Linked DNA regions of Lonchura striata. The protein of the gene in region 1 purifies or fractionates together with the protein of each later gene. This does not show direct contact. Links are inferred from orthologs where the notes say so. Each region holds a gene or a part of one and is shown on either strand. Other genes may lie near its edges.

Region 1 (7,871 bases):
AAGACGGATACGGTCTCTATCCAGGCCAGTTCTGGTTCACTGGATGACACTGAAACTGAGCAGCTGCTACAGGAAGAACAGTCTGAATGCAGCAGTGTTAACACAGCAGCAGCCACTCCTGAGCGGAGGGGCTCACTCCCAGACACAGGCTGGAAACACCAACGCAAGCCCTCCACAGAGAGCGAGGTCTAAAGTACAAGTGGCTTTGGAAACAGTTGCACCCTCCCTACCCTCTGCTCTGCACAAAAAAGACAGGACTCTGCCTGCCTGGCAAGGAAGGGCACAGAGATCAGCCTCTCTTACGAGGGGCCTGAGACTGGGACTGCCTTTCAGCATGGAGCTTCGGCAGCTGTGTTGTTGTGTTTGGAGAAGGAGGATGGGTGGGTTGGTGGAAACCCAGAGACCCTTTTGACTCATTTTCACTGTCTGTGGTTTATTTATATGTTCCCTTTTCCTGGAAGTTGCCACATTAACTTCTGCAGCGACTCGTCTGGCCTGAGTCTGGTTGGGAGTTTCTGTTCCCTGGCAATCTGCAAGTCCTATGCCATCCAGCCCCTGGTCAATGCCCATGAAGAGAGCAGAGCTGCCTCATTGCTGGCTCCTGGTCACAGAAGTACTCCATGTCATTCCAGCACTAGCAGCACTCTTTGAGGCTTTGTGTTGAGGCGTCTCTGACATGAGAGAGGTCTTGGTATAGATGGGATATGCTTTGGGGCTCAAGAGGACACTGACACAGCATCAGGTCACCTTGTAAAGGCGTAAAGAGAATAACCAGGACTCACTTAATGAGAGCCTCACTGCTTACTTTCATATCTGCTACTAAAAACTTTAAGGAATGCTCAGATTGGAGCACTGTGTCTGTTGCTGGCAGTGGACACTGCTCTTATTCTCCCCTTTCCTGTTAAAACATGTTTCTACTCTGGAAAAACAAGAGTCAGCAAATGCCCCTTTCAGAATTGTTCCCTGAGTACTGGAGTCCTAGTGCTGAACTTGAGACAAGAAGAAACTAGTGTTTTACTTAGCTCTATAGAGCTAATGGGGGGAAATGGATCTCAGCAAGACCTATATTTTACTCATCTTTGCATAACTGATATATAAAAAAAGAAAAAGAAAATTTGCTAGGTCCCCACTAGTCCCAATTCTGCAAGGTCCCAATTATTTTAGCCTTTAGGACCTTTGATTACCATAATAAGGGAAAAGAGAAAATTCCTAGGTCGAGTCTTTCCCAGGGGAATGCTCAGTGCTGACAGTTAGGAACTGCTTTATTACTAGGCTGAGCCCATTTGACCTAGAATGGGAGACAATAATCAGGGAGCTGCAAGGACCATTTTAAGTAGTTGTTTATCAGATAGAATTGCACTTTAAGTTCTTCTGTTACCACTAAATAGCTCTCCTTGCCAAATAATTTTTCCCATCAGCTGCATGAGCTTCAGTTGTTCTCTGACCTCCAAGACTCTTACCCTTTAGAGAATGTCATTCTACCTTTGCAGCCAAAACCCGGCAACATCTGGAGCTGGGTCTTGCATGCTCCCAATGACTATTGCCACCTCTTCATACTCTCTTGTCATCTGTTTGTTCAAAAAGAAGAAAGATAAAATATTGCTTGACATTTCTTCAAAAACAAAATTTATATTAACCCCTCAAATCATATGGTATAATATTTACTATTAAGTCAGATCCTTGGAAGCAGAATTTCCCAGTGAAGAATTTCTCACTGCAAACTTTGTAACCTCTTTTATCTCATGGAAAGAGGTCAAGTACATTCCCATCCATGGTGTAAAGAGAGCGAAACATACACTGGGGTATGGTTCAGAGGTGGGGGGAGGGTACATCTCCCATGCAATATCTTTTTCAGCTGATTAAAAAGGAGAATCATCCTACTCTGCTCAAACCTTGTTTATATGCTAACAGGCCTGCTACCCCTGAAAAACATAGCAGTTTGCCTGTACTTTTCACAGCAGAGGTAGCTTTGTAGACAGGGGAAGGTTGCAGCTTCGACCTGGCTAGGTGGCTTGAGACTCTGTCCCTAACTGCACCATTGGGCTGACTGGTGTATATTCCTGTGGAAAATGAACTGGAGCTAAGGTTTGGGTTTCCCTGTGTTATTGTGGGACTCTTCCCTACTCCCAGAGGGATTTACTTTTATTTTTTTTTAATTAGATTTTTATTTAATTATTTATTTGTTTGACTCCAGCCTTGGAAGCATTGATTTTGTTGGGCAGAGGCACTTTTGGGTTGAGGTGTGGACTTGACTGGGAACTGAGAAAGGAGTGCATATCACTGACAATGGGCCCTGCCCACCTAAGCCACTTCACGCAGGGACAACACCAGAGGGCTCAAGCATAAGCAGAAGAATCAATTTGAGCAGAAACCATGTGTTGGGGCAGGGGCATCAGGGCTGGGAGTGGGGAGATTGGGGAGGAAAGCTCTGACCTGTAGGAGAGCTGGGTTTCTTTGGGTTTTGGAATGGGTTGCTTATGTGACCATGCACCAAAATCCTGAGGTGGGACAGGGGTGAAGGGAAACATCTGCCCAGACCTGTCACTTAAGATTAAGTCAGCCTGTCAGAGTAATTGCTGTTCAAGTCACAAGTGTGGAAGGGAAAGGAAAAATAGTCAGTCTTTTCAACAACTCATGGTGTTTGTGATCTCCACCCTGATCAATATTCTCTGCTGTTTCTTAGGAGACACCCTGTGCACTCCAGCCTAACAACTATTCATAACTGCTCTCTAATCCCTTCCTAAAATGATTATGGTGAAAAGGAGCAATAAAATGTCACACAGCCTCTTCTACCAGTGAGGTGGGCAGAAATTTGTGTCTTTTTTCTAGAGACAGCCCCAGTGAGATGCTGCCTTGGGGATGCATCGTGGTTCCCCAGTCTGGGGAAGAGAAGACCCTCGTTGCACTTAGGATGTTAAGAATGTAGAAAGGCTACTGGAGGAAGATCTCTTGAGCACTGATTTACTGTGTAAAAAGCAAACCTCTTTCCTGTCTGTCCTGAGCTAACGTCAGTGATTTCCATGTGTTCCTGTGTAATGGTTTTAACGTTACTCACTGGAGACATTGGATTTTCTGGAGTTATTTAACCACTGTGTTCAATATTTTAGGGGTTGATGATAATTTAATATAAATTTAGCTTTTCTTAACCACTCTGCCTGGCTTCTGGTTGTGAATCATGCATGTTATTTGGACTCTCCTTTGAATGAGGAACTCCTAAACCTGTTCAGACAGAACCTCAGCTTTGCTTCATTTCAGAGGAGCAAGAAGGTAGGAACAGATTTAGGTTCTTAGAAGCGTGATTGTAGCACACACTGTACCCCTATGATTTTGAATCAAGGGCCCAAGATCCTTTCACACACATAATACCTCTCACTCTGCCCCACCTTGCTTTTTCCTCCCCCTCTTTAACATGGCGACAGAAGGGGCTGTTCGTTTTGGCATGTACTAGAACTGTAGACATCTCAAGCCTCTGCTTCAGAACAAAATTCTGAAGAGCTGTTTTTCTTACTGTAGGGAGTGTTTATTTAAGTTCCTGTTGCCTTTATTTATAACCAAGAGTTTAAATAGTGTAAAAAGCTGAGTAATGAATGAAACATCACTAATAACTGACACTGCAGTACTAGTGACAATCTTGTAACACATTCTGTCCCTTTCTGATGAAAGAACTACCTAAAACAATTAAAACAACTGTATTTCTGCTCATTTCATAATTGAAGCACTGTGCAGAAGCCATTTCAGTCAGTTCATGAAAAAATTGCCTGACTTCCAAAAAATTGATGGTGCTCACGTGGCCATGGTGGTGAGAAGGCAGTGTAAGATTAACTGCAGTTGTGTGCATGGCATTCCGATGTCCCTTTGTCTTCTATTCTTATCACCCATAAAAATTGTTCCTTCAATTTTTTAAGCTGAAGTGAAGAAACAGGAGAGAAAACACACTGTGCTCCAAAAAAGTTCACAGAATAGGTCACGGTGGAGAGGACACTGTGGGTCACCTGAGCCAACCTCCCTGATAAAGCAGGGTCACCCCACAGTACACGGCACAGGATAGTGCCCAGATAAATCCTGTGATTTCCAGTGAGGGAGACTCCACAACTTCTCTGGGCCGTCTTGCGGTGCACAGTTACCCACACAGGAAAGAAGTTCCTCCTATTCAAGTGGGATTTCCTGTGCATCACTTTCTGCCCTTTTCCTCTTGCTCTGTTGCTGGGCTCCACCGAGCAGAGCCTGGCTCCATCCTGTCAGCCTCTCTTCAGATACTGACAGACATTGATGAGGTCCCCTCTCAGCCGTTTCTTGAGTTGCTGCTTTGCAAACTCACTGACCATAGGAAAGAAGAGAAGGTCCATTCCTCTGTAACAGGATCTTCCTCAAAGCCGAATCCATCAGCTCCGAGATGCTTTAGTCCATTGCCAGCGGGTCCCGCAGCGTCACCCGGCTGCCTTAGGACCTGCGCCTCTCGCCAGGTGCTGCTCCGGCCGTAGAGGGCCCGGCAGCCCCATAGTGCTGCCTCCCTGGGGACACGGCGGCGGCCGAGAGAGCGGGCGGGCACGCCTCCGTAGTTCCCGAGCGGGGTGCGCCCGGGCCGCTGCCGCTGGAGGCCGCCCCCGGTCCCGGCGCTGCGCTCCCCCCGCCCCGGCGCTGCGCTCCCCCGGTCCCGGCGCTGCGCTCCCCCCGCCCCGGCGCTGCGCGCTCCCCCCGCCCCGGCGCTGCGCGCTCCCCCCGCCCCGGCGCTGCGCGCTCCCCCCGCCCCGGCGCTGCGCTCCCCCCGCCCCGGCGCCGTCTCGGGAGCGCGCGGAGAGCACGCGCTGCGGCTGCCGGATTCAAACGGGCCAATAAGAGGCGCGGGCGGCAGCGCAGGCGGGGCTGGCTGCGGCCAATGGGTGCGGCGGACACTGGGAGGTGCGGGCGGTGCTGGCGATTTCAAACCCCGCCGAGCAGCCGCCGGACCGTCACCGGCCCGACCCCCCGGGCCCAGGGGAGACCCCGCTGTCCTCGTTCCTTCCCCGGTGAGCTCGGGCCCTATTCCGTTCGCTGTCCGCGCCCGTGGGAGGGCGGCTAGGCCTTCCTCCGCCGCCAGGCCCGAGCCTCGCGGTCTCTCCCGGGGAGCGAGGGCAGGCGCAGTCCCTGTGGTGCGACATCTCCCCACGGGGATGGCCCGCGGGCTGCGGCGGCATCCTCCCGCAGAGCCCGGCGGCGTGAGGGTCGCGGCTGGTAGCGGCGGGAGGCCGCGGCCTGCGCCGCGCCGCGGAGGTGCGGCTCGCTCAGGCCGCCCGCCAGCCGCGGGGCGATGGGGCCGGTGGCGGCCGCGGGCTCGGCGCCTCCGTCCGTTGGGGCCTGGGGCTGCCGAGGGCGGCCTTCCGTGGGAGCCGGCCGGGGCAGTGGGCCCGGGAGCCGTCGGGGGAACCGGGCACCCCTTAAGGGAAATGCGGACCGGGCGCCGTCTGTCCCCTGAGGCTGCGTGCAGGATCGGTTCCCCCTCTAGAATGTCCGAAGGAAAACGTTCTCTGGGTGATTGTAGTCCTAACAGCAAAGGCGCGAGCTCGTGTCCTATTTCTGCAGCTCTGTTGGTGCGTGCGAGTGTTAAGATTGCCAGAGCCCCTCACTAGGAGATGCTCCTGTTGAATCCTCTCTAGTATATGCTGGCTAGAAGTGTGTGTACCATGTTTCTGCACACACACCTTTCCCGCATTTCATTTGATTTTGTTTCTGAAACAGACAGTGTTATGATTCTTCCGAAGACAGTATTTTTCAGGCTGGTGTGCAGAGGGTTTTGCTCCTGAATCTGGTGCTCTGTCAGTGGCAGACTGGCACTTTTTGGGTCGGAAGACAGGAAGTTGAGGAATGGTACTTCTATGTGCCTTAAACAAACCGGGATTCTGTTCTAAGAATAAAAATTTTTAAAAACAATATGTGCTACAGTCTTCTAACTGATTTGGGTTTGTTGTGTGTAATATATCTGATCATTCTGCGGTTTTTAACTTTTTGCTGATTTTAGTGTTTGATTTTTTGCTATTTCTGCTGAACTGCAGTGCAGTTCAAGTTGCCTTGTGCATGTGAGAAGGGCATGAGTAGTTGCTGGGATGTTGAGCTAGCAGCAATGGGAGCCCTTCCTAATGTATTACTTGTGTATCAAAGAAAGAGTTGCTATAGGCTTTCAGTGAATCTATTAGTTTGAACCTGTAAAGCTGCTTAGTTCAGAATGCATGGAGTCTCGAGTATGGGAGTATTCTAATGGTCTACTCACAAAAGTCTGTTGCTAAAACTTTGAGAAAGGTTCACCTCAGGAGATGGAAGGATTTGAGTGCAGATTGCCTATATACTGTTGACCCTTTAGTGTCCAACATGAGATCAGTTGATTGTACAAAATTTAGAATTTGGTTTGGTCTTCTTGCCTCAGGCTTGGCCTTTCTTTGAACTTTGCTGTTTTGATAGCTTCCCCCCATATTGAACTTACTAATTCACTGTTTGGTTTTTTTTCTACTCCAAGAATTCTGATAGGGCTAAGCCTTATAAGCAACATTGAGAGAGTGATATATGAAAGTAGAATTGCTGGCAAATGGCCTTCAGGTAAAACAGACTATTTCTGAACAAATGGTTGCAGATGTAGTGAAAGTAATTCTCAAAACCACAAAGTTGGATAGATTAACTAGGTGACCTGTTCTAGGAAAAATTATGTGATGACTTGACAAAAATAAATTTGAATTTTAGAAGTATGGGAGTTATTCAGACTGCTTTAGATCTGTATTGATGGACAGTTTCTCCCTTGGTATTGTAATATGAAAAAAGGGAATGCATGGTGATGGAACATGATTCCTGGTTCTTGTACACATAGGACTTGTATTTTGTCAGACTTAACTTTCATGCTGGCTCTTGCCCTTCCCCTTGTATGGGCCAGTTATGTAAGCTGTGCCTCTGCCTCTGAAAACTTGGTCTGCCACAGTGGGTCTGTGCTCTCATATCAGAGTCTACTAAAATGGGAATGTATTTCATAGTCAATTTCAGTGTAATGTTATAAATTGCTTCACTCTGTGTGTTTGGTGATAAATTACAAAGCAACTTAGCATGTTGTATGCTCCTTCAGTCAACCTTTTCTCTTTTTTTGCTACCCAGTTGTCATCTGCAGCACTTCTGTTTGCCCCTTCTTATCACTTACACACATCTTGAACAGTGCATCCAATTAGAAACTGCTATGAATGTTTTGTGGAGTGGGGATAGCTATCTTAATTACCTAATTTGGAGGATTTTGTTGTGTAGGATGCATGACTGGAAAGACACTTGAGAGATGTAAATTCTTGCAAACCTTTAATTAAGGTTTTCAAAATCATGGTCAGTGTTCATCTGCTTCCCTTTTTTCCGTTCCTACCTCTCCTCGTCCCACACTACCAGCAGCTCTCCTTATATGGTTTATAAAAGAAATATATAAACTTGTATTGCTAATCTGTTTGTAAACTATTTAATGTAAATGGTTTGTCAAGTCTGCCAGAGTAGGATGGCATTAAAGTCATTTGCATCTGTAGCAGAGTGGTTGGTTCAAGACAACATAGTCCAAGACTAAGATGGTGTTGCTTTGCTGATGCTTTGTTGTAGACTGTTCCCAGTGGTTCCTGTTATATGGGTGGAGTTCTGAAGTGACATTAAAAAGCCTTGTACCCTTTTGTTTAAACTAAATATTGCCTTGCACTGGGCAGTGTTGCTCTGGCTTGTTTGAATAAAGAGTCTCTTGACCTGAGCACTTGTACATTGTCTGGGGTTGTCTATGACAGCTCGATTGCTGCAAATGTCAGATGTTGAAAAGCAGAAGTAGAGTGAGGTGGTAGGAAATGTAACTTGGACAATTATTCAGTGGGAAGCGTGGCTGGTGCTGGTGGTGC
Region 2 (7,122 bases), on another chromosome or scaffold:
AATCAGCAGAAAACACTTTGTAAAAATTTTTATAAAGACTTTTAAAGTGTATTTATGCACACCTCACTGCTGTTTAAAGCTTTTAGGGGATGGGTCCTGAAGATGTGTGCAGAGACAATGACTGCATTTTTTAGTTTTCAAACACCAATCCAAAGGGCTAAACTTGTCGTCTCACCACTGAAGAGCCTGATATACTCAGAGGTATATTTAAAAATAACTGAAGTTACAATGTTGGTTCTTTTAGTAGAACCAGAGTAATAGTTCTGACTTTAATTTTGAAAGGAACATATTATGACAGGAACATGCTTCTTCCACTCAGTATTCATTGTCTGCACATGCCATATATTATAATGATAAACAATACTTTATATTTTGTCAAAGGTTTAGCTAAACACTGCCTAACACAAACATGTGTGGGCCTGTTGAACACCTCCTTTGAGAAGGCTGGCAGGCAACAAGCCTTCTGCAGGAGAATAAAAAAAGCTGCTTAAAAACCAGTCCGGTTTTCCAGGCATCAAGTTAAATATTTACAACAAATGTTAACTTCCCACCATGCATCTGCCCATCTTCATGTAGTATTCCCCCTGAGGGATTGTCCTCCCAGGTGACAAGTGAAATCAAGATTTCAAAGTCAGATTCTAACAGTTTTGACAGATGTAAAGAAAAATATTCAGCAGATCACTGCTGTGAGAACCAGCCATAGGGCTGTCCATGCTAGGGAGCTCAAAGGTCAGCAAAACAAGGCTCCTGGTGGCCTTCTTCTAGGAGCCACTCATCAGAAAAGGTGTGTTGAATTATTTGAGTGACATGACAGCCTTGCACAGACTTCCTTTCCTTTGGAGAGACTGCTCCTCATTTCCTTTCATCTCGTGAGTTTAGAACCTGCCCCAAGTCAGGCAAGACAAGCACCCATGCATGTCCTGAGATCTGGAAAATAGTACTGTGGAAAGACTGCTTTTTTCCTCCTTCTCAGTGAAAAGGAAAAACACAGTGTGGGTGCAATCGCAGCTGTTCACAAAAAAATCTGCAACAGATCTAATTTCACACACAGAGGAATTTCTCTTGCTCTTGTGATGCAGTGGAAAGGTTTCATTTTTGTGGCATTAGCATCAATTATTACTATTTCTGTATAGTCACCCAGGGGCCTCTGCTTGGGTGTGGTCTCACATCTGGCCAGTGCAAGCCTGGAATCTGAGCAACAAGAAAGTCGTGGAAGCCTATTATTGACCTGATATTTCATAGGAAGCTTATGGACCAAGACTTGCTGCTCTTCAGTTCCCAGCACATGAGAAGGGTACTCACAGCACAAGAATGAATGAGAAAGCGAAATCATGATTGCTGCTATTCAAAGCACAGTCTATGGTGACTATTAAGCAGTGACTCCATTCATTTCTACTTCTCGTACTCTTTGTAAAAATAGCAGATAATTCAGCAGTTCTGAAACTTTTTTCTGCTACTTTTTTCTCACTTTCCTCCCCCTTTGTCTGTACACACCTGCAGGGAGTGGGTCTTGTGAGGAGAAAAAATTGCTACAGCTGCTGACAGCAAAGTAATGGTGTCAGCAGGGGACAGAAGGTTGGAGTAAGAAATCTGGGGGACAAACAGACCATTAAATGAACTGGGAGAAGAGGAAGGGAGAAGGAAGTAGAGGAGATGAGGAGGGAGAGGAGTAGAGCAGGATGCAGGCAGTGCACTGATAACTAAAGAGTTCTCAGAGCTGCCCCATTACTTAACAGAGGAGACCCCTAAACATGACAGAATCACCAGGAACAGCTGCAGTGTTGGCAGCAGCTCCCAGGAGCCTGCGTCTCTGTGGTCCTGGCTCTCCACTGCACTGCCTGTCTACATCTCCTGGCAGAGCCCTTTGTCACAGCCCCACTTCACTCTGTCACACTTCCAGATCGAGCCACCAGTCCCATCCTGATCCCAGTAGTTGCACTATAGAAAGGATTAAACTCCTCCTGTTGTTACCATAAAAGCATGATTAATTGAAGTGACTGAGGGTTTCTTGTGCCACTGATGTTTGGCCTGAGGGTTGTTATAGAAGAATAAAGAAGTTATATTGTGTGGTCCTGATATAGATGTTCTAATTTGGAATAAACTTCCCTGCATAGTTTAAGACCCACTAACCACTGAATCGTCAGCAGTGTCACTGTAAGTGTCAGAGTCCTGGAAGAACCTTAATGTAAAAAACCTTTATATAATAGTTTCCCTGGCCTTTTGGAGGATTGTAAATTCTGTTGATAAGTAACTGTTCTCACAGAATATATCTGTATTCCCTTAAGGCACTTGACTTTGTACCATATCATACAGACATAAAGAACAAGCTGGATTTACAAACTGACTTACAGACCAATCTCTAAGGAGTTATGATAGTCATTAACGTGGTGTCAGTGAGCAGAGTGCCAAAGGTCTCAGCTCATGGGCCAAAAGTGCTTAGTAGTTTTATAGCTGTGAGAATTATACAAAATCTGTAGCAAAATCTGCTACTGATAAAAGTTTGTTTCACTTTCAGATAACAAAGACATTACCATAAGAGTGATTAAATTGCTTTGTTGAAAGATACCAGCCCTGGTGTCTTTTGATACAGTTAAACACTTAAGGTGATAATTGTTTTGGGAAAACAATGACATAAATTCCATATATGGATCAAAGGCCTGGATTCTGGTGAGAAGCTAACAGTAACAATGCAAAACCACCCCAGAATAAACCCTCAAATAATGTTGTACATACAGAGAATGTAATCTTTCAATGTATAAGGGGAGAGTGTTGTGTAAGGCAAGGAAGTGACCCAGTCTTGTAAGGATGCTGTAAACTCATGCCTGGCAGTCTAAACATGCCAAGAGTCCATGCACTATACCTAACACAACCCAGATTGTGTACCATTAGATGCCCCTAAACTTTGCAACTTCTCAGCACATCCTGCAGGTCTGAGCAACCCAGTCTTTATTTTCCTTCTTCCCTTCCTTGAGCCTGGTAAAAACTGCTCACAGTGGTATCATCCCCTGCAGACTCCAGCTATTCTCTGGCCCACTTGCTGGTGTTCTTCCTCTCCTCAGCTATAGCAGGCTCCAAAATGAAGCTGGCGAGTAGATGGAACATAACAAGAGGAAAAAAATTGTGAAAGGATGGCACTAAGGACACTGTCTTCAGTGGACCAGGGAACAAACAGCATCCCCACAATCCAGCCAATGAAATTTGGAGACAACTTGTCACAAGACATAAAACATCCCAAGAAATAGGACAGGAGGCAATGGGCAGAAAGCAATGCACAGGAAGTCCCACCTGAATATGAAAAACTTCTTTACTGGAACACATTGCACAGTGAACACAATTGTATGCCCTGAGCTCTAGAATGACCCCGCTTGAGCAGGGAGGTTGGACCAGATCAACAACTGTGGTCCCTTCCAACATTATCCACCCTGTGATTCTGCGACAAATCCCCAAGCCCCACTAATTCCTTACACTTAAAGGAATTAAGTGTAAGGTGTAAGTTTTGCTATGGAAGGCAAAATCGCCACAACCTTTAAATGAATATGCATGTATTTATACACGTAGACTCAAAGGATGTTTGGTTCACACATCCGTCATGCACAATAGGGCCAACACTATCACCTACGCTTTGGACCATGAGCACGCCTTGTATTCTTTAGAGCTTCTGAACGGTTTTGGAAGGTATTCCGGGCTTTCCCTACAACTCCTGCCTGGGACCTGTGATGCCCAAGACACGGGAGGCCAGGCCAGCCCGGCCGCGCCGCTCCCTCAGGAGGGAGCCCACCGCAAGGGCCCCTCGGCCGGCCCCAGGCGGGGCCGAGTCACGGCCTCCCGCTGCCGGGGCCGCGAGCCGCGCCATGCTCGGCCATGGCCGGCCATGGCACGCCGTGCCGTGCCGTGCCGTGCCGTGCCGTGCCGTGCCGTGCCGTGCCGTGCCCCTCCGTCCTGCGCAGCGCGGCCCGGGCAGAAGGCGGGGCGAGGCCCGGCGGTTCCGGCGGCAGCGCGGCAGGCGGTGCCATGGCGGCGGCGGATGTGCGTCCTGCGCCCCGCCCCGCCCCGGCCCGCCCCGCCGCCGGCCGCCCGGCCGCGTAGACGGGGCGGCGCGGCCGCCTCTCCCCGCGCAGCCGCCGCCGGCCGCCATGGAGGATGTGGGCTCGGGCGTGAACGCGGACGCGGAGGTGCGGAAGCTTCAGGAGCTGGTGAAGAAGCTCGAGAAGCAGAACGAACAGCTTCGCAGCCGCCACGGCGCCCTGCCCGCCGCCCCCGCCAGCCCCAAGCGCCTGCCGAGCGCCGGGCCCTCCTCGCCGCCGCCCGCCGCCTCCCCGTCGCCCGACGGCCGCTGTCTCAGCCCCAGGGCCGCCGCCCGGCGTTCGCTGCCCGAGGAGCCCGGCGGCGGCGATGGCGGCAGCGGCGGCAACGGCCTGCTGGACGACGCGGCGGTGCTCAGGCCGGAGGAGCTGGAGCGGCTGGCCGGCTGCGATGAGGACGAGACCGGCTGGTGAGGAGGCGGCCGGGGTGGGGATGGGGCGGGGGCGGTCGGTGAGGAGGCGGGCAGGGCTCCGCGTCCCCCTGCCCCCGCCGTGCCCGGGGGGAAGGGGCTGATTCCAGGCTTGTGCCTGATGTCGGAGGGGGTCTCGGGGCTTTGTGTGCGGCGGCAGCCTCGCCCTCTGCGCTGGGTGAAGGGCTTAACGAGCTGTGCGAGGCGTAGCGAAGCCTGCCGGGGAAGGGTGTTTCGCTTTCTGCGCACGGCGTTGGAGCTCCCCGGAGGCCGCGGCTCTGCTGGGCCGCGGCGGGAGCGCTGCCTCGGGGCGCTCGGACACCGAGCGGGCTCCCGTGCTGCCGCAGCGTCAGCATCGGCGTTCTCGGGCGTGCAGGCGGTGGGAGCCGTGGAGAAACTTGTGGGAAATTTATAGGGTAGTTCAGAACTAGCCCACAGGTACTGTTAGACTTCAGACATGTATCAGGGATCTTTTATGCCTCGATTTCTTTCAGCTGTAAAGATGGCAAAGGTAACACTTTTTCATCTCATAAACGCGTTGCCCTTAGGTGTTCTAATTTATTGCTAATGATGCAGTAGGATCACGGTTTCCCTTAGGTTGTTCCTCGTTATAAATGGACTGCTTTACCCTGCTGCTCCAGCAGAAACATCTGCAGGTGGCTGTTTGCCTTGTCATTATCGCACTTGGATGAGCTTCCACTGAGAATCAAGAAGACTTGCTCTCTCCAGACATCACACTGTTTCTAGCTGTCGTTTTGAAGTTTCCTATGAGAGTTGTTGAGGGGCAGCCTCAGAGCTGCAGGACAGATAGTGGGGAGGAGCACCGTGTCAATAACATGTCAACACCATGTCAACAGAGGGATGCAAGGGAAACGTGTACAGGGACATAAAGTGTAATACAAGCAAACTGTCTTGCAGCAGAACCGATTGTGGGTCCATCTAGCAAGGTCTCTGGGAGCAAACATGGAGACAAATTTACAAAACAAACAAAAATGTCTTGTAGAGTTAGAAACGCCTTTAGAAATGCTGGACTGATTCCATGCATGAGCAATGTTTTAGTTGCTCAGGGAGGAGACAGTGTGTGCACTTCTTTGGCAAAGTCATTTGCCTGACATTCAGCCTGATCCACTGGAGAAGTATGAGAGCATAGGTTTATTCTCATCCAGCACTAAATTAACACAAGGCATCATCTCCCAGAAGATGAGTCTGTCTGTGCAAGGCAGCTGCTCTTATTTCTTACTTTTTGCCTTGTAATCTACAAGGGCCTACAGCCCTTGATGGAAGTACAATCTGGTAAATTTGCACGGCAGGTCTGGGGTAGGATGGCCAAATTTGTAAATGTCATGAATTCTAGTGACAATAGATCTTACTGTTTTGTACATTCATTCTAAATCATGGGTAGCATAATGAGTCTCTTAGGTGAAAGTGAATGTCCCGACAGCATGTGTGGTGACAGTGGCGTGTGTTTTTGTTGACACAGTTCTGGGTACTCACGGGGCAGCCAAATGGTTCTCTGAGCACTGCCCTTGCTGGTGTCAGGTGTCTGGCTGCCAGTTATTGTGGCACTGTCATGTTTCTGTGCAAGTTCTAGTGCTCAAAAACCAGCAAAACTTACAGGTGGTCTTCATTCCTTTACTAATATTTTGGCAACTATAATGCTGAAGTGTTTAGCAGCTAATTTTGGGCATGGGACACTGAGACAGAAATGCATGAAACAAAAAAAGCAACTGTAAAAATTTGCTAATTGTCATACATATCACAAAATATGGGTATGTAGTTATTAAAAAAAAGTGTTTTCCTGCTGTAGTTTAATCTGCAACTAATGATAAACATAGTTTGGCTAGATTGATGATTTCGTGTTCCAAAGTGCTTAATTAAAGTGGGAATTAAACTCTTGGAATTTCTAAACACCTTCTAATTCAACTGTTGAGACACTAAATAGTCCAATCCCTTTTATTTTTCTATGAAGGGAAGATGCCTTTATGCATTAGATTAATGGAGGTTATTGGTCTTAATGAAATTTGAAATTTTCAGAGGGCTGATGGAGCAATCTAAAACAAACAAGCCCGTGAAGGTAGGAGGGGTTGGTGTGAATAAGTGGATTTCCCTTAAACTGTTTCATAAATAATTTAATCAACTGAAAGAGTGAATGTATTCAATGAAATTTAAGTCTCATATGAACTCTTTGAGGTTCAAATGGATTAACCCAAAATCCTGTTTAAAATATGGGATTACACACTGTCAAAATCAAATATCTCTTAGCTGCTGAGGACACCTCTTGTGGAAACAAACTAAATTTAAATCATTGTTTGTTCATAAAAAATTGATTCATCTTGCGTGTTTTGCTTGTCTACACATAGAAGTTAAGATTTGTCTTTACTTTTGATTTCAAAAGGACCTTGCTGTGGGTAACAATAGGTTGTAGAGGGTGCTGGTTATTGCTATTCTTTTCTGTTTTGTGTAATACAGACATTTTCATACCCCATTATGAAATTGTCTGCAGTTTTGTCATGGCAGAATAAATATTTTTTTAACTGTTAAAATGACATTGTTTTACATTTAATGCTCACATGAGATTAGTGGCTGTGAATTTAAGACAGAGCACTTGATACTGTGATTGAAATTGATAC

What was found.
Region 2: the proteins of CKAP5 (region 1) and SLAIN2 purify together in Homo sapiens (affinity purification with mass spectrometry; 4 studies listed by BioGRID and IntAct, counting the BioPlex papers as one, with this or other methods). This does not show direct contact. The link is inferred for Lonchura striata from reciprocal best matches to the Homo sapiens genes CKAP5 and SLAIN2.

What each region holds. Positions count from the first base shown.
Region 1 is NC_134608.1:38,861,011-38,868,881, reverse strand, and holds the start of CKAP5 (cytoskeleton-associated protein 5), read left to right. Parts: upstream 1-4,863; 5' UTR 4,864-5,006; intron 5,007-7,871. Other genes in the region: LRP4 (low-density lipoprotein receptor-related protein 4), read left to right, coding at 1-192. UniProt on the Homo sapiens protein: Binds to the plus end of microtubules and regulates microtubule dynamics and microtubule organization. Acts as a processive microtubule polymerase. Promotes cytoplasmic microtubule nucleation and elongation. Plays a major role in organizing spindle poles.
Region 2 is NC_134606.1:25,852,004-25,859,125, forward strand, and holds the start of SLAIN2 (SLAIN motif-containing protein 2), read left to right. Parts: upstream 1-4,118; 5' UTR 4,119-4,133; coding exon 4,134-4,492; intron 4,493-7,122.